7 linked regions of the Callithrix jacchus genome follow. The protein of the gene in region 1 interacts with the protein of each later gene in a biochemical or structural test. Links are inferred from orthologs where the notes say so. Each region holds a gene or a part of one and is shown in the gene's direction. Other genes may lie near its edges.

Evidence for each region.
Region 2: the proteins of SNTA1 (region 1) and KCNJ4 interact in a test that uses a peptide from one of them, tested with the Homo sapiens proteins (2 studies listed by BioGRID and IntAct). The link is inferred for Callithrix jacchus from reciprocal best matches to the Homo sapiens genes SNTA1 and KCNJ4.
Region 3: the proteins of SNTA1 (region 1) and SLC16A7 interact in a test that uses a peptide from one of them, tested with the Homo sapiens proteins (3 studies listed by BioGRID and IntAct, with this or other methods). The link is inferred for Callithrix jacchus from reciprocal best matches to the Homo sapiens genes SNTA1 and SLC16A7.
Region 4: the proteins of SNTA1 (region 1) and WWTR1 interact in a test that uses a peptide from one of them, tested with the Homo sapiens proteins (2 studies listed by IntAct, with this or other methods). The link is inferred for Callithrix jacchus from reciprocal best matches to the Homo sapiens genes SNTA1 and WWTR1.
Region 5: the proteins of SNTA1 (region 1) and DGKZ form a complex in vitro, tested with the Homo sapiens proteins (2 studies listed by BioGRID and IntAct, with this or other methods). The link is inferred for Callithrix jacchus from reciprocal best matches to the Homo sapiens genes SNTA1 and DGKZ.
Region 6: the proteins of SNTA1 (region 1) and SCN5A interact in a test that uses a peptide from one of them, tested with the Homo sapiens proteins (2 studies listed by BioGRID and IntAct). The link is inferred for Callithrix jacchus from reciprocal best matches to the Homo sapiens genes SNTA1 and SCN5A.
Region 7: of the proteins of SNTA1 (region 1) and MAPK12, one has a biochemical effect on the other in vitro, tested with the Homo sapiens proteins (2 studies listed by BioGRID and IntAct, with this or other methods). The link is inferred for Callithrix jacchus from reciprocal best matches to the Homo sapiens genes SNTA1 and MAPK12.

Annotation. Positions count from the first base shown.
Region 1 is NC_133506.1:5,910,538-5,913,397, forward strand, and holds the end of SNTA1 (alpha-1-syntrophin), read left to right. Parts: coding exon 1-12; coding exon of another isoform or gene 13-44; intron 45-1,431; coding exon 1,432-1,619; intron 1,620-1,720; coding exon 1,721-1,813; 3' UTR 1,814-2,360; downstream 2,361-2,860. UniProt on the Homo sapiens protein: Adapter protein that binds to and probably organizes the subcellular localization of a variety of membrane proteins. May link various receptors to the actin cytoskeleton and the extracellular matrix via the dystrophin glycoprotein complex.
Region 2 is NC_133502.1:209,372,827-209,377,095, reverse strand, and holds the start of KCNJ4 (inward rectifier potassium channel 4), read left to right. Parts: upstream 1-1,469; 5' UTR 1,470-1,493; intron 1,494-3,042; exon of another isoform or gene 3,043-3,170; intron 3,171-4,269. UniProt on the Homo sapiens protein: Inward rectifier potassium channels are characterized by a greater tendency to allow potassium to flow into the cell rather than out of it.
Region 3 is NC_133510.1:59,924,620-59,928,589, reverse strand, and holds the start of SLC16A7 (monocarboxylate transporter 2), read left to right. Parts: upstream 1-1,170; 5' UTR 1,171-1,247; intron 1,248-3,970. UniProt on the Homo sapiens protein: Proton-coupled monocarboxylate symporter. Catalyzes the rapid transport across the plasma membrane of monocarboxylates such as L-lactate, pyruvate and ketone bodies, acetoacetate, beta-hydroxybutyrate and acetate.
Region 4 is NC_133518.1:35,765,970-35,769,469, forward strand, and holds part of WWTR1 (WW domain-containing transcription regulator protein 1), read left to right. Parts: intron 1-1,847; coding exon 1,848-1,981; intron 1,982-3,374; coding exon 3,375-3,487; intron 3,488-3,500. UniProt on the Homo sapiens protein: Transcriptional coactivator which acts as a downstream regulatory target in the Hippo signaling pathway that plays a pivotal role in organ size control and tumor suppression by restricting proliferation and promoting apoptosis.
Region 5 is NC_133511.1:111,387,414-111,391,451, forward strand, and holds the start of DGKZ (diacylglycerol kinase zeta), read left to right. Parts: upstream 1-1,238; 5' UTR 1,239-1,324; coding exon 1,325-2,097; intron 2,098-2,404; coding exon 2,405-2,513; intron 2,514-2,766; coding exon 2,767-2,862; intron 2,863-3,114; coding exon 3,115-3,192; intron 3,193-4,038. UniProt on the Homo sapiens protein: Diacylglycerol kinase that converts diacylglycerol/DAG into phosphatidic acid/phosphatidate/PA and regulates the respective levels of these two bioactive lipids.
Region 6 is NC_133518.1:76,457,865-76,461,364, reverse strand, and holds part of SCN5A (sodium channel protein type 5 subunit alpha), read left to right. Parts: intron 1-2,752; coding exon 2,753-2,885; intron 2,886-3,500. UniProt on the Homo sapiens protein: Pore-forming subunit of Nav1.5, a voltage-gated sodium (Nav) channel that directly mediates the depolarizing phase of action potentials in excitable membranes.
Region 7 is NC_133502.1:218,838,445-218,842,675, reverse strand, and holds the start of MAPK12 (mitogen-activated protein kinase 12), read left to right. Parts: upstream 1-1,431; 5' UTR 1,432-1,619; coding exon 1,620-1,744; intron 1,745-1,831; coding exon 1,832-1,961; intron 1,962-4,231. UniProt on the Homo sapiens protein: Serine/threonine kinase which acts as an essential component of the MAP kinase signal transduction pathway.

The DNA of each region.
Region 1 (2,860 bases):
AGGTGTCTACAGGTGTGCTGGGAGGATCTGGGAGTGTCCCTCTGGTAATGAGCCTCTTCTCCTCAGGGACATTCAAGCTTCCTTCTTTAGGGCACTTCAGACAGGAAATGGGGTTTGGAGGTCAAGGTGGGTGGATCATCTGAGGTCAGGAGTTCGAGACTAGCCTGGCCAACATGGCAAAACCCCGTCTCTACTAGTAATACAAAAATTGGCTGGGTGTGGTGGCTCACACCTGTAATCTCAGCACTTTGGGAGGCTGAGGCGGGTGGATCACTTGAGATCAGCAGTTCAAGACCAGCTTGGCCAAATGGTGAAACCCCGTCTCTACTAAAAATATAAAAATTAGGTCAGGCGCGGTGACTCACGCCTGTAATCCCAGATACTTAGGAAGCTGAGACAGGAGAATTGCTTGGACCTGAGAGGCGGAGGCTGCAGTGAGCTGAGATCACACCACTGCACTCCAGCCTGGGCGGCAGAGCAACAGTCCATCTCAAAAAACAAAACAAACAAATAGAAATTAGCCAGCCATGATGGAACACACCTGTCATCTCAGCCACTTGGGAGGATGGGGCAGGAGAATTGCTTTAATCCTGGAGGTAGAGGTTGTAGTTAGCCCACATAGCCCCACTTCACTCCAGCCTGGGTGACAGAGCAAGATTCGGTCTCAAAAAACAAAATAAAACCAAACAAAACCCCAAACATTAGCTGAGCATGGTAGCAGGTGCCTATAGTCCCAGCTACTTGGGAGGCTGAGGCACAAGAATTACTTGGGAGGTAGAGGTTGTGGTGAGCCAAGATCACACCCACTACACTCCAGCCTGGGTGACAGTGAGATTGTTCCTCAAAAAAAAAGAAACCAACGTTGGGTTTGGGCCTCTGTTTTGGATGTGCAGGTGCCCTGGTAGGCAGAGACTCTTCTCCCTGGGGTTTTCTTGCCCCAGCTTTGTCCATCTGCTGAGGATGTGAGAGATGGCACTTGGGGTAGGGCTGCCAGATGAAATACAGGACACCCAGCTACATTTGAATTTCAAGTTAACAATGAATACTTTTTTCATAGAACTATGCCCAAATTAGTCATTGCTTATCTGAAATTTAAATTTAGCTGGGCAACTCTGCAAGTCTCCAAGGGTGGTGCTTGGTAGATCTGATGATGCCTTTATCAGGAGTGAGCCTCCTGTCCATGACAGATTTTAAGCTCCCCCCTTTATACTGTAGTGCTGCTGGAAGTGGGGCTGGAAGTGGGTATAGGTCCTCTGAGGGTGGGGGTGGTGACTCTCTGCAGGATGGGTATACAGGTGCCACAACAAACAGTGATCCTACCATACATGGAGGCATTTAGGCCCCACTTTGTGACGCTGCGGTGGGGGTTGGAGGTTGGGGTGTGGTCTCTGAGGTGCCAGCTATGCCTGTACCTACGTGCCCCTCCTGCAGCCTGCACGTGGAACGGGCGTCCCTGCAGCCTGTCTGTGCACATCGACAAGGGCTTCACACTGTGGGCGGCTGAGCCAGGGGCAGCCCGAGCTGTGCTCCTGCGACAACCCTTCGAGAAGCTGCAGATGTCTTCAGATGATGGCGCCAGTCTCCTTTTCCTGGACTTTGGGGGTGCTGAAGGCGAGATCGTGAGTGAAGGGCAGCCTCTGTACCCTGGGGAGGAGGGGGTGTGCACTCTTGGAAGCCAGGCTGGCCAGGGCCCTGACTCTTCTCTCCATCCACCCTGCAGCAGCTGGACCTCCACTCGTGTCCCAAAACCATAGTCTTCATCATCCACTCCTTCCTCTCGGCCAAAGTCACCCGCCTTGGGCTCTTGGCCTAGAAGTCGCCGGATGCACTAGCCCTGAAGAGGGGTGTCTATAACATGGCCTGAGCTGGGCCTCCACCGAATGCCTGCTCGCCCCTGGGCTGACAGAAGGGAGAGGAGAGGAACGAGGTTCCTCAGAGACCCCGCCCCTGAGGGAGGCTGGATTGGTCTTGGGGCCCAGGACCCAGACCCAGGACAGAGTGGACCCTGCCTGTGATGGGGTAGCCTTCCTGCTGCCCCCCTCCACTAGTGCCTTTTGCAGAGAGATATTTTGTGTACACAGAAGCCATTCCAAGCCTGGGACCTGCCCCTGTGTGGATCCTGACCCCAGCCAACAGCTGAGCTGCCAGGCCTCCTTGAGGCCCCTAAGCCACCCCCAGAGGTCCCATCTGAAGCTGGAATACCTGGGGTCAGCGGCAAGAGAAAGAAGAGGAGCCTTTCTGTTTGTTTTTCCCCTTAGCTCCGCCACCTTGGGGAGTCTGGTTTTTCTCTTCATCCTTTCTCTCTCCTCCTTACTCTTGGATAAATAAATAGCCTGTGAGCATACAGGCAGCCTGGCCCAGTGTCTGTGGTCTGTGCCTTGGCCTTTGGGCCCTGGGGTGGCCCCTGCAGTCCCAAGATGGACCAGACCAAGGACCGGGGCACCTTTCCCTGGAGAAGAACAGACCTTCACCACAGGGCCAAAGAGAGTGTATTGGTTATTTATTTTTGTGTGACAAATTACCCCAAATTTAGCAGACAAATGACCCTGAATTTTGCAGCTTAAAATGACAAATATTCATTATGTCCTAGGTTCTGTGGGTCAGGAATTTGGGAGGGGCTAAGCTGGGCTGTTCTTGTCTCAGAGTTGCTCATGAGGTTGCAGTCAAGTTGTCGGCCAGGGCTGCAGTCATCTGAAGGCTTGACTGGGGTCGGAGGATCCATTCCAATACTGCTTATGGTCATGAGGTCTCAGTGCCTCACCATGCAGGCCTAACCCTAGAGCTGCTGCTTGAGTCTTCTCATGATATGGCAGTTGGCTTTCCCCACAGTGAGACAGAAGATAGAGCAAGGAGGAAGCCA
Region 2 (4,269 bases), on another chromosome or scaffold:
ACTGACTGCCCTTTAGATGCCACATGCTGGGTTTGTGTTGGGACAGTTGTATCTGTGAATATGTGTGTCCATGTGCCAGGAGGGTGTGTGTGTGTGTGTCCGTGTGCCTGGCATGCGTATATTGGTGTACGTGTGTATTTGGGATGGATTGTGACTACATGGATGTAAAAACATGTATTCATGGCTTCATGGCATTTGTTGGCAGGTGGATGTGTACTTGTGACACATGTTTACCCGTGCATCTAATGTCTTTGCTGATGTGTGCATGCCCCTCGGTGGGCATGCGTGGGATTGTACTTGTGGTGTGCACAAGTGGATGTAGAGAACTAGGAGAACCTGTGATCGTGTATGTGTGGGAGTGTGCTGAGGGGTCCTGGGTGTGGGGGCTTTTTCTCCCCCATCTCCTATCACCTGAGTGACCTTCTTCCCCAGCTGAGGACTGTGGCTGAGGTCACAGGCACGCATGGGACAGCTCCTGCCCTTCCATAGACCTGTGTCTTGGGCCAGAGTGGGCACCAGGGGCCAGGGTGGGTGGGTGAACCTGGGGCGAGGACTCATGTGCCACCCCCTCCCTGCCTGGTCTCCTCCCCTCCCCACAGCAGGAGCAGCAGCGGGAAAGGTTGGCGGAGGGGGGCTATTTTGGGAGCGTCTCCTTAGCAACAGCTGCCACGGCCGTCTGTGGCGGTTTTTCTATAGGTGCTAAAATATTCCACCCTGGTGACTACTGAGTGCTGGGGGGTGGGCGAGGGTGGAGGTGGAGGGCAGGAGAGACCCCTACAGTCCTCTGTCCCCAGGGCACAGCCTGCTGGGATGGATTCTGGCCCTCTGCCCTCCCAGTGACCCTTTAATTGCCTCTGGACCTTACCACCTGGGAGCTGCTGGGATTTTAGAGCTCCAAGGGTGTGTCCTGATCTGATTTCTAATCTAAGCAGTTGGACTTCCTCAGTTTGCCTCATCTGCAGAATGGGCTGGCTGGACTTTTTTCTTTTTTTGAGACAGAATCTTGCTCTGTAGCCCAGGCTGGAGCACAGTGGCAAGATCTTGGCACACTGCAACGTCCACCTCCTCCCAGATTCAAGTGATTCTCCTGCCTCAGCCTCTGAGTAGCTGGGATTACAGGTGTGCGCCACAATGTCTGGCTAATTTTTGTATTTTTAGTAGAGACAGGTTTTCACCATGTTAGCCAGGCTGGCCTCAAATTCCTGGCCGCAAGCGATAAGTGATCTGCCCACCTCCGCCTCCCAAAGTGCTGGGATTACAGGCATGAGCCACCACACCCAGCCCTGGCTGGACTTTAAGACACTCTCTAGGCCAAAAACCTCTGGACTCTGTGACTCTAGCATTTTGAAGTGGCCTTTTCCTTTTCCTCCTCAGCTGTCCACCTGCCAGTCCCAAGTCGCCCTCCCTTCCGCTCCTCTCCGCCCTCCACATGGGCTCTCAGGGCTGCTGTCGGACCCAGAAGGCATGAGAAGTCCCCCAGAGTGAGCTGGTTGGTGAGTACTCTGCTAGCCTGGAATGACCTTTCCCCTAGAAAGTGAGAGCTGAGCCTGGTTCAAATCCTGGCCCAGACAGCTGCTTACTGCCTGATTGACCCCAGACAAGCCCTTCCCCTCTCTGAGTGTTAGTTCAGGGTCCTCACCTGTGGGGTAAAGACACGCATAGCCCATACCCCATAGAGCTCTTGTGAGGATCAAGGGAGAGAACAGAGAGGAGATGGGCAGGACACATTGCCAAAGTGTATGGACGGACAGAGGCTTCACCAGCATTCCCCTCTAAACTTCAGAGTGAGCCTCTCTTCTCCAGACCATTGCTTCCAGCCACCCCAATCATGCCACCCATCCCATGACTCCCCATGCCTCAGTTACCCCATTGGTAGTAGGTGCCTGTAGCACAGCATTCTTGCAAGAATGAAAGGAGACAATGCCTGTCAATGTCTGGATAGTGCTGAGCTGGGGGCATGAGAGAGGGAGATTCAGGTTGTCCTCACTCCATGGCGGGGAGACGAATCTGTGCTGGATCTTGACAAGGCCCATTGGGAGACCCAGTCCACACTGTCCCATTACAGATGAGGCCTCTGAGGTCCAGAGAGGACATGAATCTTTCCCAGGGACACACAGGTTCTGACATCCATGCCTTTCCCCAACCCCCTCACATTCCTCCCAGGCCTCTGCATGCCCATTTCCATCTCCACCCCCCACCTCACACAGGGCTAGAAGCTACTCTCACATAAGGTGAACAATGTGGAGTCTTCCTTTAGTCTCTGATTATCCTCAAAACAGCTGCTCCACCAGGTCCAGTGGCTCACACCTGTAATCCTAGCACTTTGGGAGGCCAAAGGCAGGCGGATTGCTTGAGCTCAAGAGTTTGAGACCAGCCTGGACAACATAACAAAACCCCATCTCTACAAAAATTTGCTGGGCATGGTGGCGCACATCTGTGGTCCCAGCTACTCGGGAGGCTGAGGTGGGAGGATGGTTTAAGCCGGGGAGGCGGAGGTTGCAGTGAGCAGAGATGGCAGCACTGCACTCCAACCTGGGTGACAGAGCCAGACCCTATCTAAAAACCAAACTAAAAACAAACACACACAGATATTCAAAATAGGTGTTATGTTTTCCACTTGACATATGAGGAAACAAAGGCCGAGAAAGGAGAGGTGGGCTGCCCAGGGTCACGCAGGGCGGGAGAGGAGAGAAAGGACTCTTTCCTGGGGTCTCTGAACCTCTCCCTGCCTGGAGCTCCTCTGGTTGCCTCTCCCCACCTCCTCCCAATCCAGTCTTCTTGCAGGATGAGCAGCTGCCTCAGGGCACAGCCCAGGCCTGGAAAGGTGACCCTCCTTGCCCCAGAGCCCCCATCCCATCTTCAACTTTGTGCCTAGGGACCTGGCATCAGGGGGCTGATCCTGTGAGAGAAGATGCTTTGGATCTACAGACATCCCTGTATCCATGTTCCCCTCCTTTCTGCTCCTTCCTCCACCCCCTGCACCCCACACTCCCAGGACAGCTACCAGGTCAGGCCTGTGGCCAAGCAGGTCATTTGTCTCACCTTCATCCTCCCACTTTCAATCCATGCAAAAGGGTGAGAAAGACCAGGCACACATCTGTTGCCGACTGGGCACTCAGGCTGCTTGAATCTCTCCTGCATCCACGCACTGAGCGTTCATGTGATGGAACATCAGTCCTAGCTGTCTGCCTGTGAGGACACAGCAGAGTAACCAGGGAGAGGCGTGGAACAGGACGTGCGCTGTGGAGGTCCGCACAGAAAGATCCCTGAGAAAGGACGGTCACATGTATTGAGCGCCTACCATGAACTGCTCATTTTGTGGGCATCCACCTCATTTAATCTGCCTCTGGGGAATGGGGGACGTCAGGGTCCTCAATCTACAGACAGGCTAAATTAAAAACATGTTCAAGGTCAAGTAGCTCTCAGGTGCTTTTGAGCCTAGTTTAGCCTGACTCCTCAGCCCACTAAGCAAGAACCATACTTGTGCCCAGCCCAGGGGCTCGTACGTCGTGGGTGCCTAGCGCTGGCTGAATGAACGAGTGGGTAATGAATGACTTCTGCTGGGGTCATCAAGTGGCTTTCTCAAGGAAGTGGCACTGAGGCCGGGCTTGGGAAACAGCAAGGAGTCTCAGGGCAAAGAAGGTGCTAGGCGCATTTCAGGCAGGGGGGAACAGTGAGTGCAGGCAGAGAGGTGCAGAGGCCTGTGGCGTGTTCTGGAATCTGTGGAATCAGGGTGTACCTGTTGGTTTATGGGATGTCGGATGCCGGCTAAGGTGGGACCTGGCTATACCACACTGAGGAGCTGGGACTGGATCCTTTTGTGTAGGGCGAGCCCACAAGGAAGAGAAACACTTACGGTGGTTTGTGTGTTGCTGTTCTTATGCTGACATCCTTGGGGCTCAGAAGAGTCAGAGGGATTTCAGATTTCATAGGTTCTCCACCTGGCTTTGGGGTGCCTCAGTCTCTTCCTCTCTGCACTGGGTCTAGTCAGTGATAGCCAGACTCCCAGGGAAGTTCTTCTGGCTGTCTAACTGCAGGTGTTCTCTCCTCTCACTACCCTCGAGGCAGGAGCACTTTCCCTCCGGTCTCCTCAGAGGGCTAGAGTGAAGTGGCAGGATGGCCAGGAAGTAGCTGGCTCAACCCGAGCCGTGGGCGCTGGGGGTTCCCTGACAACCCAGAGTGTGGGGCCCAGGCCTGACAGCTCAGGGTTATGGAGAACGACGGAGAACAGGAGACTAGGGTTTGGTCCGGCTCTGTCATCTCTGGGTG
Region 3 (3,970 bases), on another chromosome or scaffold:
CAGACTAGCTGTGTCAAAAGAAAATGTGAATTTATCCAAATGACGTAACTCTGTTTCTAAATTCGTAAAATGTGAAGAATCATGGAACACATCTAAAAGGATTATTGTGAAATCAAGGAGGAGAAAGCTAGTTAAACTGGTAGACAAACGGCAATAGAAGTTGTCAATTCAAAACCTACAATTATTCTTTTGGATCGTTTCTTTTTCTCTAAGTGGCAATTCAATTTAAAGATATTAAAGAAACCCAGTCTTTAATGTTGCTTAAATGTTCACTTCAGCCCTTCCTCTTTCCAACTTTCCCAAGAAGCATATGTTAGACAGGGGAAGAGACCAAACCAAACGATTGCAGAATTACCATTGTCTCTAGCACTATTCATTGTAAAATAACTAAATGCTATTTTGGAGAATTAAGTAATTTGGGAAACTAAAAATGAAATAAATTACTTATAAATAATTTGAAAATTATTTTAAAAGTCTTTTGATGCCGTTTTCTATGCCTTTCCTCTTATGGTGTCAGTTTTATTTTTTTCCGTCGAGTTATTTGGTTGGTGAGTCTAATCTCTAACAGTGCCCCACCTCTTTCTTTCAAAAAGGCCAGAGTTGAAAAATGGCTCAACACTTTTCCTGCAAGCTCACAATTGAGGATCTCCTGTTTTCCCTGCATTCGGCCAAACTCTTCTCTTTTTGCATGCTTTCCTCTCTCATGCATGGGGTGCACAACTGCCTGGGATATCTAGACAGAGCTACCGCACATCTGACTTCTAGGTCAGGCTACAGAGTACTTCGGATATGGCAAGTCACGACCCATCTGGAATGACAGATCTACCTGCCTTTTTGGCTTTCTCCCTTGGTCAAATCTAAAATCCGAAGTGGAATACCCCGAGCCATAGAGAAAGTGCCTATAGCTTTGACAGCCGCTTGGAGCATGCTCAGTCGGTCTCCAGGCACCGGGAGGCGACTCCCCCCTCACCACCCCCCGGGCCGGCCTCCACCGCCGCCTGCCTGGCCCCCACCCTGGCCCCCACCCCTGGCGCGCGCTCCTCCGCACCCACGAGGGCGTTTAGCAGCCGGGCCTCCCCTTCCCGCCGCCGCCGCCTCCTCCTCCGCTGGTTGTGGCGGGCGAGGACACGTCAGGGGCCATAAATAAATAAATAATTCCATTCACCCGTTGACAGCGAGGCCAACCGGCTGCGGCTTGCGGGGAACCGAGGACTGCAGCGCCCACCCTGCTCCAGAGACCAGATAAAGTAAGTACAGCCGGAGAGGGAGGGAGGGAGGAGGAGGAGGAGGAGGAGCAGGCGGAGGCGCCGGCGAAGAGGAGGGCGAACGTGCGTCTGCGACCCGCTTCCCGCTGAGCCGCACGCGTGTGTGTGTGTGCAAATAATGGCCAGCCTGCGACAAACGTGCCAACGCAGAGTTGGCCAGCGAGCCCTTATATAGACAAAAAACCCCGAAGCGGCCGCGGGAGGAGAGCTCGCGTCAGCCAGTGCGCGCGGACAGCTGGCCGGGAGCTGCCGGGGGCGCGCGGGGTCCCCGGCCAGAAGCGCCCCGCGAGCTTTTGGCCAGGAGGTGCCCACGCTCCCGGCTTTCGCACCGAGACTCGGCGTGGCGCGGTGCTCGCCAGTCCCTTCAGCTCACGGGATTACAAGGGCTGCTTCCAGTGCGGCGAGTCCCTAAGGCGCGCCCCGCCAGTGTCCGGCCCCGAGCCCCCTGAGATGGCTTGGCTTCAGTGCCGCAGAAAGTGGAGACGGGGGTGGTGAGAGTGTTTGTGGAGAACGTCTTCTCTTTGAGCAGATGATCAGGACACGAAGAGGCTGGGAGGGGAAGATGAAATACCGGGGGGAAAGGGAGGTGTGGGGGCGTTCATCTTCCTTCATTTTCGGTCCCCAAGAAGGATGGCAGGGGTGGAGGCAGATGGAAAAGTGTATGCGGGCGAGGCCTGAGCCCAGGCAGAAGCGGAGCGCTGACTTGGCAGGGGTCCAGGAGGGCCTGCGCCTGCTGCGTTTCCTGGGCCACTGCGCCACACTGGGGGCGCCAGGAGGTCAGGTGGCGCCGCAGGCTGGGAGCCCGCTCACGTGCGAACTGCCTGTTTTCTCTACGGATGCTGCATCGTAGCGCCCTTCTCCACCCCTTTTCTCCTCTACTTCTGTGAAAAGGATTGCAGCCTGCCTTGGATAGGGCGGTCATGCCCAATGCCTCTTTCCCAGTAGGGCTGAGGAGGGACTTCTGTAGTTCCGATTCCAGGGAAATTAAAATTTCACACACACATGCGTGCGCGCATACGGACGCGCGCGCGCGCGCGCGCACACACACACACACACACACACGAGACACAGAAGAGGAAACGAGGAGTGGTTTCTTTACAATTGTTTTTTTGGTGCCCTTTCCTGGAGAAGTAAGTAGCACTAGGCTGCGTTGAGTGAGGGCTGGTTAGTGGCATTATTAGGAAAGCTATTATTTCATGTCCTCCTTCCCCCACGAGTCCCAAAGGAGACGCAGCAGAGGAATAAAATAGCGGGCAAAGATGAAGGTGATGTGAAAAAGACTGGACAAGAGAAAAGAGTGACTGACTACAAATGCTGTTTCCTGGCACCCTATGCTTCATGGCTAACCCCCGTCTGAACTCAGAGGGTTGCAAACTTTCCACAGACAGGTTAGCTTGAATGTGTTGTGTCATTGGAACCACAAGCACTAAGTATGCATCTGGTGGAGTGTAGCTGAAAAATGAGAGTTGGGTGGGGGCTGCAGAGGACAAATGAGGTTTGAGCAAAGTGAGTAATATTTAGCCCTGGTGAAGCAATCCTAACTCCAGTTTCTACTTCTGACCGAGCACATTACATTTGAAGCAATCCAAGTGAATGATCTCAGTGGAAAGGAAAGATTATAACCTTAAGCAACTCAGTATATTGTGTAACAACTCACAAAGTCAGAAACTACTTTTTGCAAATATTCACATCAACAGTGTGCAGTTATATGCTACCTTTTCCCCCCAAGGAGTGTTTTAATAACAAGTGATCTGAAATTTTAACACCTGTTTTCCAATGTCCAAATTAGTGTATCCTTCTATAAATGCTCAGTTTATTTCTAGACATTCATTTGCTCTTTGATGGTGTCTGGATTATAGTTTTGGCTTTGAGCTCTTTTAAAGGGAAGAAGGGCAACATTACCTAAAGAAATCTCCTTTGGTTAGAGTCGTATTCCTGGATCATGGATCTGAAATAAAAGGCATCTCCAGAATTTGCTTTTAATTCTGTATTCACTCACCAAATATTTTTGAGTCATTCACATGAAAAAAGGGAATTAACTTAAGAACAGATTCTGCACTTTTGTAAGATTAAGTAATTGTTTAACAATCTGGGCTTTACTTTTTTCTTATCTATAGAATGAGATTGGTAGTACCCACCAGAAGTGCCACTGGAGAGAATAAAGTGTATAGTAAATACCTAGAATACAGACTGGCTATTTTTGAGCCCTTATAATCATTCTAGATACCCTACCACGGTTACCAAGATGAATGATGCTGGAATTCTGTTCTCAAGAAATTATTGTATAGTCAGTTATCCAGGATAATCTTTCTTATATCCCATTTGCCTTTTAGTCCATTTTTTTCCCTCTTCTTAATGGAAGAAACATATATCCCAAATAACATGAAAGGAATTTCACAGTTGTAAGAAATGTTGGTAAGATCTGCTAAAAGGCAAATTTGAAAAGAGTGTCTTTTCTCAGGAACCTGTATTCAGCTGTTTTTTTTTTTTTTTTTTTTTTTTTTTTTTAGTGCATTAAGAGTGATTCTTGGGCTGGGTGCGGTGGCTCACGCCTGTAATCCCAGCACTTTGGGAGGCCGAGGCGGGTGAATCACGAGGTCAAGAGATCGAGACCATCCTGGTCAACATGGTGAAACCCCGTCTCTACTAAAAATACAAAAAATTAGCTGGGCATGGTGGCACCTGCCTGTAATCCCAGCTACTCA
Region 4 (3,500 bases), on another chromosome or scaffold:
AGATACAATTTTCAAACTGTGGCTCAGGGTGTGTAAGTATGCATGAGGGATGGGGACTGCTGGGGTCCAGGCTTTTATGTCAGATTCAATCCCTGTCGTTCCTTCTGAGCCTTTCAGGAGAACTTTGGCTGGATAATAACATTTCTAATGCACCTTGCCTGTCATGTTAAAAACAACTATCAGAAAATAAATTGATTTTTCTAGGTTTATTCAGAAGGCACTTCCAAGATTTAGATGATGGTTGAAATCTTTTTACCAAAAAAACTCCATGTTTTTCAGTTTGCTTTTTATAGATTCCTGAATAAAATGTGTTTGTTAGGTATTTTGATTATTTACGATCTAGATGAACAGAAGTGAGCCAGAGACCCTTTCCAGCTAGAAGATTTATTTCAGTATAAGTAAACAGTACAGTTAAAAAAAAAATCAATCAGGTCTCTCATGGTTTGTAGCAGCACAATGAACTCTAGTAACTGAAAATTTTTATAGCCGATGACCTCACCAGGACTTGTCTAGACAGCATTTACGCTCTGAAGTCACAGCATGTTAGGGCTAGAAGAGATCTAACAAAGATACTATAACTTAGAAGTCCTAAGTGTTCTGTTTGCCATTGTAGCCATGGTTTTAGGGTTTGAGGGATGGTGAGACCAATGACTTCAGCATGGAAAGTGGGAAACTGATAGGCATAAATATGGGGAAAGGCCTAACCTTGGTTTGGGATGCAAGTGTAAACATACAAAAGTATTCTTTTCTGGAAACAGCAGCAAATTTGAAAGGAATTTGATGTCTGGTCGTGTTTGTGAAAATGGAGAGACTCCTGGAGATTACACCTAGAGAAATAATTGCAGTCAGTAAATTTGCAACCTTTTGGATTGACTCTCCTTGGCAACGTAATGCTAGTTTTTATAAAATAATGCTTGTATTATTTGTTTTTGCTAATAAAATCGTATGCTATGAAATAGTTACTTGTCTGTGGAATTTGGATTGGATCTACATGGCTCCCCAGCTCCAGAATTTTAGTCCACAAAGTAGTCAAATAGATCGACTTTTTTTTTTTTTTTTTTTTGAGACAGGATCTCACTTGTCACCCAGGCTGGAGTGCAGCGGTGTGATCTCTGCTCACTTTAGTCTCAACCTCTCAGGCATGAGAGATCCTCCTACCTCAGCCTCCCAAGTAGCACCATGCCCAGCTAATTTTTGTATTTGTTGTAAAGACAGCATTTCACCATGTTGCCCAGGCTGGTCTTGAATTTCTGGGCTCCAGTGATCCGCCCACATTGACCTTCCAAAGTTCTGGGATTATGGCCATGAGCCACCATGCCTGGCCACTGATTGACTTTTTTAAAGCAAACTTTTCAACTCATTGTTTTGCTTTCCTACCTGTAACCATAAAAATGCCAGATGCAGTTTAGAGCCTGGACTCTAATCCCACAGTTTTATTGGCCTGTAAGTGGCAAAGACCAGAATGTACCTTATAGTCCAGAGGAGTCTGATTGCTTTGACTGATGTAAATTTGGTTTGAGAACCTGAGATAGAAATAGCCTTGTCTCTGAGAAAGTGTTTTGAGAGGACTTTCTATGATTTGGGTGCTTAAATAATTGCACGGGTGGGATGATTGCAACATTAAGTGCCCTTAGGTCAGATAATAGCTGAGCTTCCCATTAACTTTGTGAATGTGAAGTGATTTAGTCTGTAAGACTTTCTTCAGAGAAAGAATACTAATGGTTGCCTGGTGATTTTAACTTGGAGTAAATATTTGGTGAAAAGTTTTGATGTGAAGTACACTCTGCTCATGGTTTGTGACAATGAGTGAATGACTCTTGCTTCCCACTCTGTTGTTCCTTCTATAGGAAGCTGCCCTCTGTCGACAGCTCCCCATGGAAGCTGAGACTCTTGCCCCAGTTCAGGCTGCTGTCAATCCGCCCGCCATGACCCCAGACATGAGATCCATCACTAATAATAGCTCAGATCCTTTCCTCAATGGGTAAGTTAACATTTGGGGCACACGTATTTTGCTCTCTTCATATTAGACTATAGTAGGATCTTTGTTTACATTAGGAAGAGGTGGGGAGCTTGAGGGTGGAGGGTGAGAATAAAGAAAGGAAGTGGGAGGAGCTGGCAGAAAAAAGTAAAGCAGGGAAAATCATCTACATTTTTTTAAAATTCCCAAATTTAAAAATTGGTGATATAATACAGAGTAAATCCCTAGTTAAGAATTTGAAAATGGGCGTGAACCTATAATTTAAACACGATGGTGTTGTCTAGTACTTGTACTTGGAAGAATCTTGTGGTTTTATGTAACCAATGGGGATAAAAGCATGCTGTATGGCAAATTGAGAACAGAACAATTAAGATGATGTGATGTTCAGGGTGAAATGTGAGTAAGGTCTATAGTTTACTTAATAGTATTCTACAGTCTGGTTTTGGTAATTGCACTATGGTTATGTAAGATGTTATCACTGGGGAAGCTGGTGAAGGAAGGGTACATGGGAATTCTCTATACTCCTGTTGCATCTTCTATGTGAGTTTAAAACTATTTCACAATTTAAAAAGTAATTAAAACAAAGGAGCAAAAGAGAAAGAGAATTTAGCCAGAAATACCTTCATGAGCCGAAGTAGGTTTTAAATCAAATTAAAAGGGCAGTGCTCTATTTCCTATGTCTTTTCTTCGGCCCTTGCAGGAACATCTGGTAAGGAAACAAATACAATTATGAAAATTATTAAAGATAGAGATAAAAACAAACAGTAGCTGAAATAATAAGTAATGGAATTTTTAAGTTGCTGATTTTAAAGTATTTGAAATACAGAAAAGTAGAAAGGATAACATGAGTTACCCATGTACCCATTACCCAGATTTGCCATATTTTCATCCAATCTTATTTTTAATAAATAAAGATTATAATTAGTATTTGAATTCATCCCCCAACCACTGAAATTTTATTTCTTTTCCCTTTTGTTCCCTTTTGTTCCTTTTGTTCAGAAAGTGGTGTGTGTCCATCACATAGATTTTTATAGCTCTTACTGCCTGTCAGTGTGTGTATCCATAAGCAACATTCAACATTGTTTCTGGTTTTTAAAAAGTCTTACATAAATGGTGTCATACTCTGTATGTAGAAGAGTGTTCAAATGGTTAATTTGTGGTGAAAAGGAATTCAATGTCAATTTATTGTGAATGACCACACATGATTACTTTCATTTTCATGAGTTTATACATTTTAAAATTAAAGGGAATCAGAGTCAGCTTTCTGTCCTGCCCAACCTGGAAAGTTGGGCAGAATGGCACAATTACACTAGTTTAGAGCTTTTGTGACTTTGTTTTAATTTTGAGACTTACTTAGTGGGCTAACGTTGAAGTTTCTCCATCTTTTGCTCTGCAGAGGACCATATCATTCGAGGGAGCAGAGCACTGACAGTGGCCTGGGGTTAGGGTGCTACAGTGTCCCCACAACTCCAGAGGACTTCCTTAGCAACGTGGATGAGATGGATACAGGTAGGAGCAAAGC
Region 5 (4,038 bases), on another chromosome or scaffold:
TGTCCAGGGCATCACCCACCATGCCTAACTAAATGCCAGCCTTCAGCGGGCCAGCCCTGGGCAGCACTGTCCCAGGGCTGTGACCTTAACCTCCATGGCTGTCAGGGGCTAGGATGCATTCCCCACCAGTCTCTGCCCAAGAGAACACCTGCTGTGGGGCACAGGTGGCCCCTGGTACCTGGAGGCATTGCCACCCTGAACCATGCCAGGTGGGCTGCCCTTCCCCCACTTTTAGGAGAGGTGAGGGCATAGGAGCCAAATGCCGGCTGTGAAGAAGGGAAGGGAGGGTGGAAGTGAGCTGGCAGAGGGAGCAGAGCATGAGTTCAAGATGGGTCCAGGGAGGTCCGGTCCAGGTGAGAGCTAGGATGAGGCCCATGGCTCCTGCCTCCCTGCAGGAGGGAGCTCTCGGCTGGGCAGCGTTTGGAATTGAGAGTATTGAGGCTTCTAGCATCAGGGCTGCAGAAGAATGTGCAGTCCCAGGCTCCCTCAGCAGCAGAGCCAGAAGGGTTTCCTGGCATCACCCAGCACTTTGCCCTGGGGTATCCATACTTTGCCCCTTCAGAAAGGTAAGACAGAGAAGTTAAGCACCAGAGATACAGGCACACACACACACCCAGATCCAGAAGGCTTTGCTTTTGACCCAAGCCTATTGTTTCGGCCCCATGGGTGAAAAAGTCTGAGCAGTCCCTCTCCTAGGTGAGCCAGACAGCGGCTCTCCAGTTCCCTGAGACCGTCTTCCCTGAGCCACACATTAGACCCTCTCTACTTCCAGGAGTCACCCTCAGCCTGACCCCAAGGTGACTCTGGGGGTCCTGTCAGGACTGAGTTCCTTTGCAGAGCCTCGTTTTGTTATCATAGCTTGGTTTGCGCCATGTCCCAGGAGGGGACACCTAACCTGCCCCATACTGGTGGCAAAACAAAGGCCCGGCGAGTGGGCAGTCCTGCCCGGGGCCCCGCCTTCCATCCAGGCAGACCAACTCCCACTTTTCTTTTTTTCTTTTCCATCAGCTTCCGGTGGGGCAGGTGGAGGCCTTTAGGCCTGGGGCTCTGTGGTTCATGGTGCCTGGACAGGTGAAGAAGGGGTAGCCTGAAGCACCTAAGACTCCAGGGCTCCCCAGGGTACAGTGGGGGAGAGCATCAGCACCCCAACAGCTATAAACGTGGGCTCCTCTGAGGACCCCTGGGACCCTCGAGCACCCCACACCTGAAGGTCAGAGGCTGCAGTGACCCCTTCCTCCCTCAGGGGTTGCGTCCCTCCTCATGGAGCAGAGGCTTTGACTGGGCTCCTGGACACAGGACAGACCATGGCCTGGTCCAGCTCCTGATGCCCCTGGTCTCTGTGCCCAACAGCCATCTGCCTGCCATGGAGACCTTCTTTAGGAGACATTTCCAGTGGAAGGTGCCAGGCCCCGGAGAGGGGCATCGGCGGCCCAGCGGCGTGGGGCTGCCCACGGGCAAGGTTCGGCGTCGCTCCCCCGCTGGGCAGGCCTCCTCCTCACTGGCACAGCGGCGCCGCTCCAGCGCCCAGCTCCAGGGGTGCCTCCTGAGCTGTGGGGTGAGGGCCCGGGTTTCCAGCCGCCGGCGCTCCAGCACCGTGCCCCCTTCCTGCAACCCCCGCCTCATCGTGGATGAGGTGCCCACTCCACAGCCTACCACTGTGGGGGCCCAGCTTCTGGGCGCACCCCTGCTGTTGGCTGGGCTTGTGGGCATGAATGAAGAGGAGGAGAAGGGTGTCCAGGAGGATGTGGCAGCTGGGGCATCAAGCGCCATCCAGCCAGGCACCAAGACACCAGGGCCACCCCTATTCCGGGGCACCAGGCCACTGTTGCCCCTGCCCCGATGCCTGCGCCGAGCCTCCTCCCACCTGCTCCCCGCGGATGCCGTATATGACCATGCACTCTGGGGCCTGCACGGCTACTATCGGCGCCTCAGCCAGCGGCGGCCCTCAGGCCAGCACCCTGCCCCTGGGGGCCGAAGAGCCTCAGGCACCACCGCCGGCACCATGCTGCCCACCCGTGTGCGCCCACTCTCCCGCAGGCGCCAGGTAGCCCTACGGCGCAAGGCGGCCGCACCCCAGGCCTGGAGCGCCCTGCTCGCGTAGGTATAGCGGCGGCTAGCATGGCGAGTGGTGTGACCTCCTGCGGGTCTGGCCTGGGCAAGGGCCTTGAAGCTCTGCCTGGCCAAGGGTTCCTCCCCACTTGGGAACACTCTGGGCAGTGCCACGAAGCCAGCGCACCCCAAAAGGCCGTGTCTCCTGCAGGGAGTTTCTCAGTGTCTGGGTCTTCTGGGAGGTCCTCCACCCTCCCTGTCACCAAGGTCATGGAGAGGACAGAGGCCCCAGGAGTGGGAGGAAATTGGGTCAGCAAGTGCTCAGCCCCCTCCTCAGCTGTCTTCTCCCCTGTAGGAAAGCCATCACCAAGTCTGGCCTCCAGCACCTGGCTCCCCCTCCGCCCACCCCTGGGGCCCCGTGCAGCGAGTCAGAAAGGCAGATCCGGAGCACAGTGGACTGGAGCGTGAGTGCCTACATAACCATGGGTCCCAGCCCCACTGGACTCTGGGCCATGGCGCAGTTGGAGGGCAGAGGCACAGCAGGCAGCTGGGAGAGCGAAGCCTGGAAGGGTGGACAGTCGGGCAGATGGGACAGAGCAGGGTTGATCCAGGCTCTGGAGCGGGTTTGTCTTGGGAGAAGGTGGTGGGTGGGCAGGGGCTGATGGGAGGGAGGGCTGGGCGGCCAGCATGCACTGAGCAAGCCTATCCGGTGGCTAGGAGTCAGCAACGTATGGGGAGCACATCTGGTTCGAGACCAACGTGTCAGGGGATTTCTGCTACGTGGGAGAGCAGTACTGTGTAGCCAGGATGCTGGTGAGTGCTCGCTGGGACACGCTGCCCCCTGCTGGCAGAGCTAGCACCCGCAGCCCTTCTGGGAAGGTGGGATGGAGCCCTCTCCCTACCACCCCTGCAGTGGATCACCCCAGGATGGTGAGAGGTGCAGGGGCTTTTTCCAGAGGCCAGGACTGGGCTTCCCAGTGCACACAGAGGGCAGCTGTGCTGGGGCAGGCAGCCTCCAGGATAGACTTACTGGTGCCTCAGGGGCCCTCTCCTCTTGTCCTGCAGCAGAAGTCAGTGTCTCGGAGAAAGTGCGCAGCCTGCAAGATTGTGGTGCACACACCCTGCATCGAGCAGCTGGAGAAGGTGGGTGGGTAGCTCAGCTTTTGCCTGCCCCTGCCCATTGGGTGCTGAGGCCCTTGCTGTGTGCCCACACACCCACACGTTATACAAATGTGGCCTGCCAGGAGCAACCCAGCACTCAGGGGTGAAGAGTCAAGGACCCTGGAGCCAAATGCCTGCAATCGAATCCTGGCTCCTCACTTACTAGCTGCTGCATCCCCACTGCCTAGAAGAAACGTAGCACAGAGTGGGTTCATTGAATATCACTCGATGAGATGAATTGTCAAATCATGCATGGCCCTTGTACCATTTCAATATGTCCAAACTAGACCTTAGAAGAGGCCAGTGGTTTGCTGAAGCTTCATAACTCCGCTGTGGCTGGCGGCGGAGGGGGATACCCTACACCCTGCCTCTGTGGAGACCTTTTCCCAAGGGCCATTGTCCACTATGCATCTGCAGCTGGGGGCACGTCTGAATACTGTGCTTCTAGAGGGAGGTGGGGGCAGCACTGGGCAGGCAGGTCAAGGCCAGGGGTAGGAGAGTTTGTGTGGAAGGGCAGGGCTCCCCAGCCTGCAGCAACCCAGACCAGCATACAGGAGAGACTGTAAGACCAGGCGTGGCTCGAGCAAGGCTCACACGGGCTGCTTTTCCCAGCCCCTGAATCGTAAATTGAGGTGTCCTTATACCTGTAATAAGACTGAAGTAGGGTCACTTAGAAGGGAAGTAGAAACGCAGCCCGAAGCATTGCACACTCATCTCAGGTGGAAATCCAGCTAGGGTTCAACAAATTAGCTAAAGGTCTCCAGGGACCAGGCAGCACAAATCTGCGTGTGAGGACCAGGCTGGCTGCATGTGCCAGGTTGGGAGTGC
Region 6 (3,500 bases), on another chromosome or scaffold:
GATGGGGGGAGGGGCTGAAGACTGACTTAGCCCTCTGCTTGTATGAGAGTGCCTGTTTCCAGAAGGCCAGATAAAGGTAGAAGCAGCACACTGAAGATCCATTCCTCTTCTCCCTCCACATTCCCTGTGGTCACCTAGCAAGTTAGGACCAGAGCTGGAACTCTAACCCAAGCGTTCTGATGGATTCCCAAGAATTTACCTATCCAACCAGTATTTATCTAGTGCCAGCCTGCCATGTGGAATGCCAGGCAGTGCTGAGACTCCAGGGTTATAGCAGGGAACGGAGAAGACGAGATCCCTGTTCCCCTCGGAGTTTATACCATAGTTGGGAAAACAGTAAACTAGTCAGTACTTTCAGGTAGTAGTAAGTCATGTGATGGAAAGTTGCTAAGAGGAGGATGGGGATGAGGCTTTTAGAATACCCGGGAAAGGCCTTCCTGAGGAGGTAAGTTAAAATTGACAGGCAAAAGATTGTAGGGAGCCAGCCCTAAAATGTAGAGGAATAGCATTCAGGCAGAGGGAGTAGCAAGTGCAAAGCCCCTGAGGGGGACACATCCAAGGGGTGAGAGGGGCTAATAGGGCCACGTGTGGTACAAACATTAAAATGAGTTTCATGAGTTAGGACTTGGGCTGTGCAGGACCTTGTAGATCATAGAAAAGTTTGGATATACTTTGAGTAAGAGGGGGAGCAGTAGGGTAGAAGGAGTTGTTGAACAGAGGTGTGACATTATCTGATTTACTTTGTAAAGGAATCCCTTCCTACTATGCAGAGAATCGAGGGACTAGAGTGACAAGAAGCCAGTTAGGAGACTGTTGCAGGGTTTGGGAAGAGAGATGCTGACCACTGGACTAAGATGGTGTATTAGTCAGCTGTTGTCACAGTAGTGCTGTGTAACAGACTACCCCAGAAGTCAATCTCTAGCAACAAGACTTTATTCTCATGCTCATTCATCTGCAGGTTGGCTACAATGTGGCCCATGTAGGTTAGGTTAGCTGGGCAGCCCTGCTTCAGACTGCATGCTGGCTGGGCTTGGTTCCATGTTGTAAGTTAGGCTCAGGGCTGCTCCGCGAGTCTTTGTTCTGAGGCCCAGGCTGAAAGGGTGACAGCTATCTGGAAAGCTCTTTTCATGGAGGGTTCCTGGAGCACAAGAGCAAGATAAACTGCACTAGCCCAGCTGAGGTTTCTGTTCACAGCATGTTCACTAATATTCTGTTGTCCAAAGCAAGTTGTTCATGCCCGGGACACGGAAGTTTAATTCAGCCCTGGTGGGAAGGGAAAGAGAGTGCATATGTGCTAAGGGATAACCAAACCGTCACAGATGGCAAAGGAGGGGAGAGGTTGGAAAAATGTAAGACATGCTTGTGACTTAAGCTGGCTAAATTTATGGTTGCATTGGACCTGGGGCAGTACCATTGCACCAGCCACCTCTGCCCTCTCGGGGGCCTCCACTTGAATACTTCCATCACTGGGAGCTCACTACCTCCCTAGGCAACATTTCAGAGCAGTCCTACTGATGGCCAGGATGTCCTTAACTTGAGCCCAGATCTATCTGGTACCACCCCACACCCTGTTTCTTCTACCCTGGGTAGTCTAGACCCATCTTCCCTCTGCCCTACAAAGATTACAGTCTTGCATGCTGAACAGCTTGGCACCTGGGCTGTGGTCATGCAGAGCCCTGCTGAAGTGAAGACTTTATGGGCCCTCCTTGGTTTTGTGGGAGGCTCCAGGTAAGTCTGGAGAATGCCTGCCTGCCACCTCTCTTCACCAGGGCTGTCTCCAGACCTCAGGTTTTTTACTGATAGAAATGGTGCATGCATGATGAAAACAAACCCCCGGTGCAGAAGCACATGAAGTGGAGAGGGAACGCCTCCCTCTCTTCCCCTCCCCCACAGTCCCGTTCCCCAGATATGTCCACCTTAATTATTTGGCATGCATTTTCCAGATCTTTTTCTTGTTTTTTTCATCAAACTGTTTGTCTTGGAGATGTTCCCATGGGAGCATACACAGAACTGCCTCGTTCTCTTTGTAGTCGATCTGAGCCCAGGCTTGGAGTGTGTCTGTAATTGATTTTAATATGGTTGCTATTGATTGGTTGTTTTCTGTTCTTATGGTATTAGGAACAGTGCTGCAATGAACATCCTTTATGTGTATTTTTGATGCACGTGTGTAATTATTTATGAAGTTAGATTGCTAGGTGAGGACTTGGAGGGCCAATTTAAACTTTTCTTGGTAAATCCAGCCTAACTGCCTCCCCAGAAGACACAGCCTCCCACCAGCCACGTGGAAGCATTGCACCTTGTCCTTCTATTAGCATCCTCTTAGAACATGTTAGGTTTTTGTTTTTTTCAGCTTCTTTCTGCTCTTGACTCTAGGAAGCTTGTGGTCAATTAAGACTTCCACATCATTTTTGCGTGTACTAATGTGTATGACAGCATCTGGCTCAGGGAGGCCCTATGAGATGTGCAGCTTCCTGACCACACTCAGGAATCACTGCTGATGAGAGGCAGTGAAGAAGAAAGGAGAATGAAGGAGACAGTGATTGGCAGGAGTGGGGAGGGAGCTGTTAACTGGGAGGGAGTTGGGAATAGAGAAGCCCAGCATTCAGTGTCCCATCAAGACCTGCATCCTATCCCTGTGGCATCCCCAGCCTGAGTCTGGACTGGCCACCCCAGGTCCAGCAGGACTAGAGCTGGGGGCAGGACCCCTTTCCCCATTTCCCCAGGCTGACGCAAATCTCCTGATTGCACTCAGACCACGCCATCGGAGGAGCCAGGCGGGCCCCGGATGCTGACCCCTCAGGCTCCGTGTGTAGATGGCTTCGAGGAGCCAGAAGCACGGCAGCGGGCCCTCAGCGCAGTCAGTGTCCTCACCAGCGCACTGGAAGGTCAGCACCCCCAGGACATTTAAACACTCCCCGCTTCTGCTGCAGGTGCCCTCACCTTTATCCCAGCCTGACCCAGGCATCTGCCATTGGACTTGGCCTGCCTTGGGTATCCCCACACTGTCCCAGCCTTCTCTGTCCTGCGCAGCCCTGCCTGTCCTCACATGTCTTTTCATCTGTTTCAGCTTGTTCTTCCCTGGGAGTTACCATGTCTGTGTTTCCCTCCAACACTCCCACATGTGACCTGTCCTAGGCACTTATCAGTCCCATTCCACCATCTCCCATCTATAACCACGTCTGTCTAGAACCATCCTGTCCTGAACACACCCGTGCCTGTTCTAAGCTATTCCCATATCTAGTTCACACTATTCCAGCCATTCCCACCATGGGCAACTTCACACCTGTCTAGTCTGAACTTGCACCCCCATCCCGGTGTTCCCTCCTGTCCCGGAGGGATTCTCATCTTTTCCAGCCTGTCCTTGGCACCCCCTCCCTTTATCCTGACACATCCCAGATGTCCACGTCTGTCCCTCCCATTCTGTCGCAGGTGTCCTTGTGTCTGAACTTGCCTGTCCCCATTATTGTCTCATCGTTTTCAGCCTGTCCTCCCCTGAAGAT
Region 7 (4,231 bases), on another chromosome or scaffold:
CATGCTGGGTCAGGCAGCATCTCTGGGGGCCAGGGACAGCCTGTGCCCCTTGCCTGGGTCTTGGATGGGGGGTGGAAATCATCTGGGAGTTGGGGGCCTCCTGGGGCCTAGTCAGTGTAGTGTTCAGTCCTGGGGAAGTCCAGTGTTGGGGTGTGGGGGAGCAGAATGGGGACACAGCCCCACCTCAGATGCCTGGTCTGTGTGGGGCCTGCTGGACCCCTGAGCCCCACCATGAGGAGTGAGGGGGACAGCAGTGGAAGCAGGGCTTCCTGGAAGACGTGGATGGAGTGCCACAGGCAGCCCAGGGCACAAAGGTTGCAGGCCACAGCCAGTTGTGGTTTGGGTAGCCCCGGGCTACCCCGGCTCACTGGTCACCAGCTGGTGAATGCCGCAGACAGCCGGAAGCCCAGGTGTAAAGCTACTCCCACCCTTGAGCGGCTGAGCTGCTGATTCATGGCAGGAGGGCGGGCGGGGGGCCCTAGGGAACTTGTTACCCACCAACCCAGTGGGTTCCAGGGGTGCACCCCCCATCCTTCCTGAGACCCAGATCACTGGGCTGGGGAAGGGGTGTCAGGGTGGGGCTTTTCACTCTGAAGCATCTGGTCCAGGATGGAGCCAGACCGATGGGAGGATGATGCCCACACGGAGGGGACAGGCTGAGGGCCCAGCAGGTCCTCGTCCCTGTAGGAGAGAGTGCAGCCATGAGCTTTGCAGGACGGAACAGGCAGGGGTGGGACAGGCAGATGCACTGACACTTGCAATGCGTGGAACAAGCACCCCACAGAGGAGAGAAGGGGAGGAGCTGGGGGTGCAGGAGGGCCCACGGGGACCTATGGGACTGGGAGGCCCAGGGTCAGTGGCCACAGCAGTGGGGTTGGGCATGCAGCTTGAGGAGTCTGGGAGACAGGGACGCAGGCAGGACAGGTGCAGGTGGACCCCACGTGCGGGGACAATGGTCAGGCACAGCGGCAGGGTATCCTTGGGGGTGAACCTGGGAACACAGGGCTCAGCCCAGGGAACTCAGGGCAGGGGGACAGTGACTTGCAGCTGCAGACCCAAGTCGGTTCTCAGGCTGTCACGGATGGGCCTGGAACTGTGGGGAGTAAGGACTGGAGCCCGGCGGGGATCCTGCTGAGAACGCCCCTCCTCACCCCCCAAGGCAGGGAAGTTCAGCCAAAGGGCAGAGGCTGGCATGGGTATCTCCGCGCCGCGTCCAGCCCTAGGTCCGGACAAAGCTGCGGGGCGGCGCTCCCCTCCCCCTGCGCTTCCCCCCAGGCTCCGGCCCTCCCCCGGCGGCGGCCGCCTCGGGTTTCCGGAGGGGCCGGAGGGCGGGCGAGGGCGTCACGTGCGCGCGGCCCGCGGGCCGGTTGGTCCCCGGGCGGGGGAGGGGCCGTGCGCTGCCTGGGTCGGGGCTGGGGTCGGGCAGGGGTTGGCACCTGGGACATCCCTGCGGGAAGAGCCGGGAGCAGGAGCGCCCCAGCGGCGGGCGGGCGGGCGGGCGGACAAGCCGCGCGGAGCGGGCCCGGGGCGCGCGCCGAGGGAGCCCCGCCGATCCCGGGTTACCGGTCCTGGGGGAACCGCCCGCGGGCTCTGCGGAGTGGGCGGCTCCCGGGCCTGCCATGAGCTCTCCGCCGCCCGCCCGCAGTGGCTTTTACCGCCAGGAGGTGACCAAGACGGCCTGGGAGGTGCGCGTCGTGTACCGGGACCTGCAGCCCGTGGGCTCGGGCGCCTATGGCGCGGTGTGGTGAGCGCGGGCCGGGTGGGGCGGCCGGCGGGGCGGGCGGGGCCTGCGCGGGGTGCCCGGCCTTCCCGCTAAGCGTGTGCCCCGCAGCTCCGCGGTGGACAGCCGCACCAGCGCCAAGGTGGCCATCAAGAAGCTGTACCGGCCCTTCCAGTCCGAGCTGTTCGCCAAGCGCGCCTACCGGGAGCTGCGCCTGCTCAAGCACATGCGCCACGAGAACGTGAGTCGCGCGGCCCCGCTCCGGGAAGGCGCCGCACCACGGCTCGGCTCGGCTTCCCCACCCAGCGACGCCCCCTCAGCAGGCGGCTGCGGGGCGGGGCGGGGACCGGGCCGTGGATCCCCAGGGGAGGAGGAGAGCAGGGCTCAGCCCCCGTCTTCTCTGCCAGCCCCGGGAAGGACTCACCCCCTCAACTCCGCGCCTCAGCCAGGCCCTGGTCAGGGGACACGAGTTGGCCAGGCTCAGGGATTCTCCAGCTCTCATGCCAAACCCTGCCCCCAGCCAGGAAGCCCGTGGTGAGAGGACGCTCCCAGTGGGCCGATTTTCCTGGAAGGGGCACCTCCCCTCTTTCCCATCCGGACCCCTCTCCAGCTCCTCTGTGGAGCCCACTCTGTTGCGGTCCATTTCCCGAGTCTTCTGACCCAGCGGGGGGCGAGGGGGGCGCGTCCAGAACGTAGGGAGTGTTGGACCCTCAGGAGCCCCTGGGGGTGCAGGGTGTAGGGAGCTGGGGTTTGGGGGCCACTGGGTGCGGTGGCCATCACACAGACACCCTCCCGTTCCTTGGGTGGTGGTGGGGGCCCATCCTTTCCAGCCCTGCCCATGAGATGCACAGCTGCCCTGGGCCTCTCTCATGGCTGTGGCTGGCTGTTGAAAGCCCTACCTTTCTGCCAGGGGCGCTCCCGTTTCTGGACACAGTTCCACTTGTTCACTGCCCCCCACGTCACTCCTGCCCTGCCATTTGAGCTCCTGGACCCTAGCTTCAGGGTCACACGCTCTGGACCCTCCTGGGTCATCCAAGCCACCAGCGCCCTGGGAGAACGAGTCCCTGCGTCCACCAGCAGACTGCCCCCACCACTCCCTCAGCCCTTGAGTGGGTGCTTTTCTCTGAGGCTTCCCATGCCCACCCTGACCCCAGCTCACCCCCCTGGCCCTGTGAAGCCCCTTTGTGGTGGACAGCAGTACCGCCGCCATCTCACCACCTCCCAAGTCACACCCAGGCCTTGTCCCAGGAGTGTACCCGCCCCCACCCTTGGTTTTATCCAGCTCCTCCCCTGCAGCCCCCTGGCCCCACCCACCCACTCACCTGTCTGTTCCTTGCCCCTGTCCAGCCAAGAGCCCCGGGCTTTTCTTTTTTCTCTGGAGACTTGTTGCCCAGGCTTGAGTGCAATGGTGAAATCTTGGCTCATCGAAACATCTGCCTCCCTGGTTCAAGCAACTCTCCTGCCTCAGCCTCCCAAGTAGCTGGGACTACAGGCACGCGCCACCACACCCAGCGGGGGATTTTGTATTTTTAGTAGAGCTGGGGTTTCACCATGTTAGGCTGGTCTGGAACTTCCAACCTCAGGTGATCCGCCCACCTTGGCCTCCCAGAGTGCTGGGATGACAGATGTGAGCCACCACGCCCAGCCACCAGGGCTTTTCTGTAGTCACTGCTCGCTGTGCCTGTGGGTCCACCCCCTGGGCTCCTGGCCTGCAGCTTCGGCTCTTCCCCTGGAACGCCATCATCCTGGGAGACTAAGGGTTTGCAAGGCCATGTGCCTTGCTCAGCTGGGGAGGAGGCTCTGGCACAGGCCCCAGTCCTGACGTTTCCAGGCGGGCCCCCATACCACAGAGGCCAAATCCATCCATCTGATGGCCCCAAGCCCACAGGACCCTGTTCTCCGTCGTGGGCTAAACCACTCTCCCAGGCACCCTCCAGCTCTCATGACTGCAGTCCCGGCTGCTCCCAGGCCTCCCTAGACCTCGCCCCACCCACCGTTCCTTCTCTTTCCACACTCTTGCCCTCAGCTCTGGCCCACGTGGCTACAGTGGAGCTGTCCTTCCAGCTTGTGCCCATTCTTGCCTCACTCCGGCTGGTCCCTATACCACAGCCAGGACACATTTAGCATCACACCCCTGTTTAAATCCTTCCCTGTCTCTTGGGATCAAAGCCAAACCTTCACCTGGTGTGTGCTTCCTGCCGGCTCCCTCTGGCCTCTCCTCAGCCCCTCCCTGGCCTGGGCCTCGGCCACCTGGCCTCCCTCCCTTTGTTCCTCAAACTCTCCCAGTGTTTTCCCTCCTGCCTCGGCTACTCTGTGTGTGCCCTCTGCCAGTTTCCCTCTGTCCACACGTCCACCTGCTCCTCTGTCCTTGGCTATGCAAAACTCCAGGCCTCTCTGGGACCCTGGAGGCCCTGTCACCCCAAAATGCTGAGGTGGCAGTTATCTTATGACCTGTCCACTGTCCGTCTCCCCAACCAGGGGCGTTGTGGGGACCAGGTCTGACTGGTCACG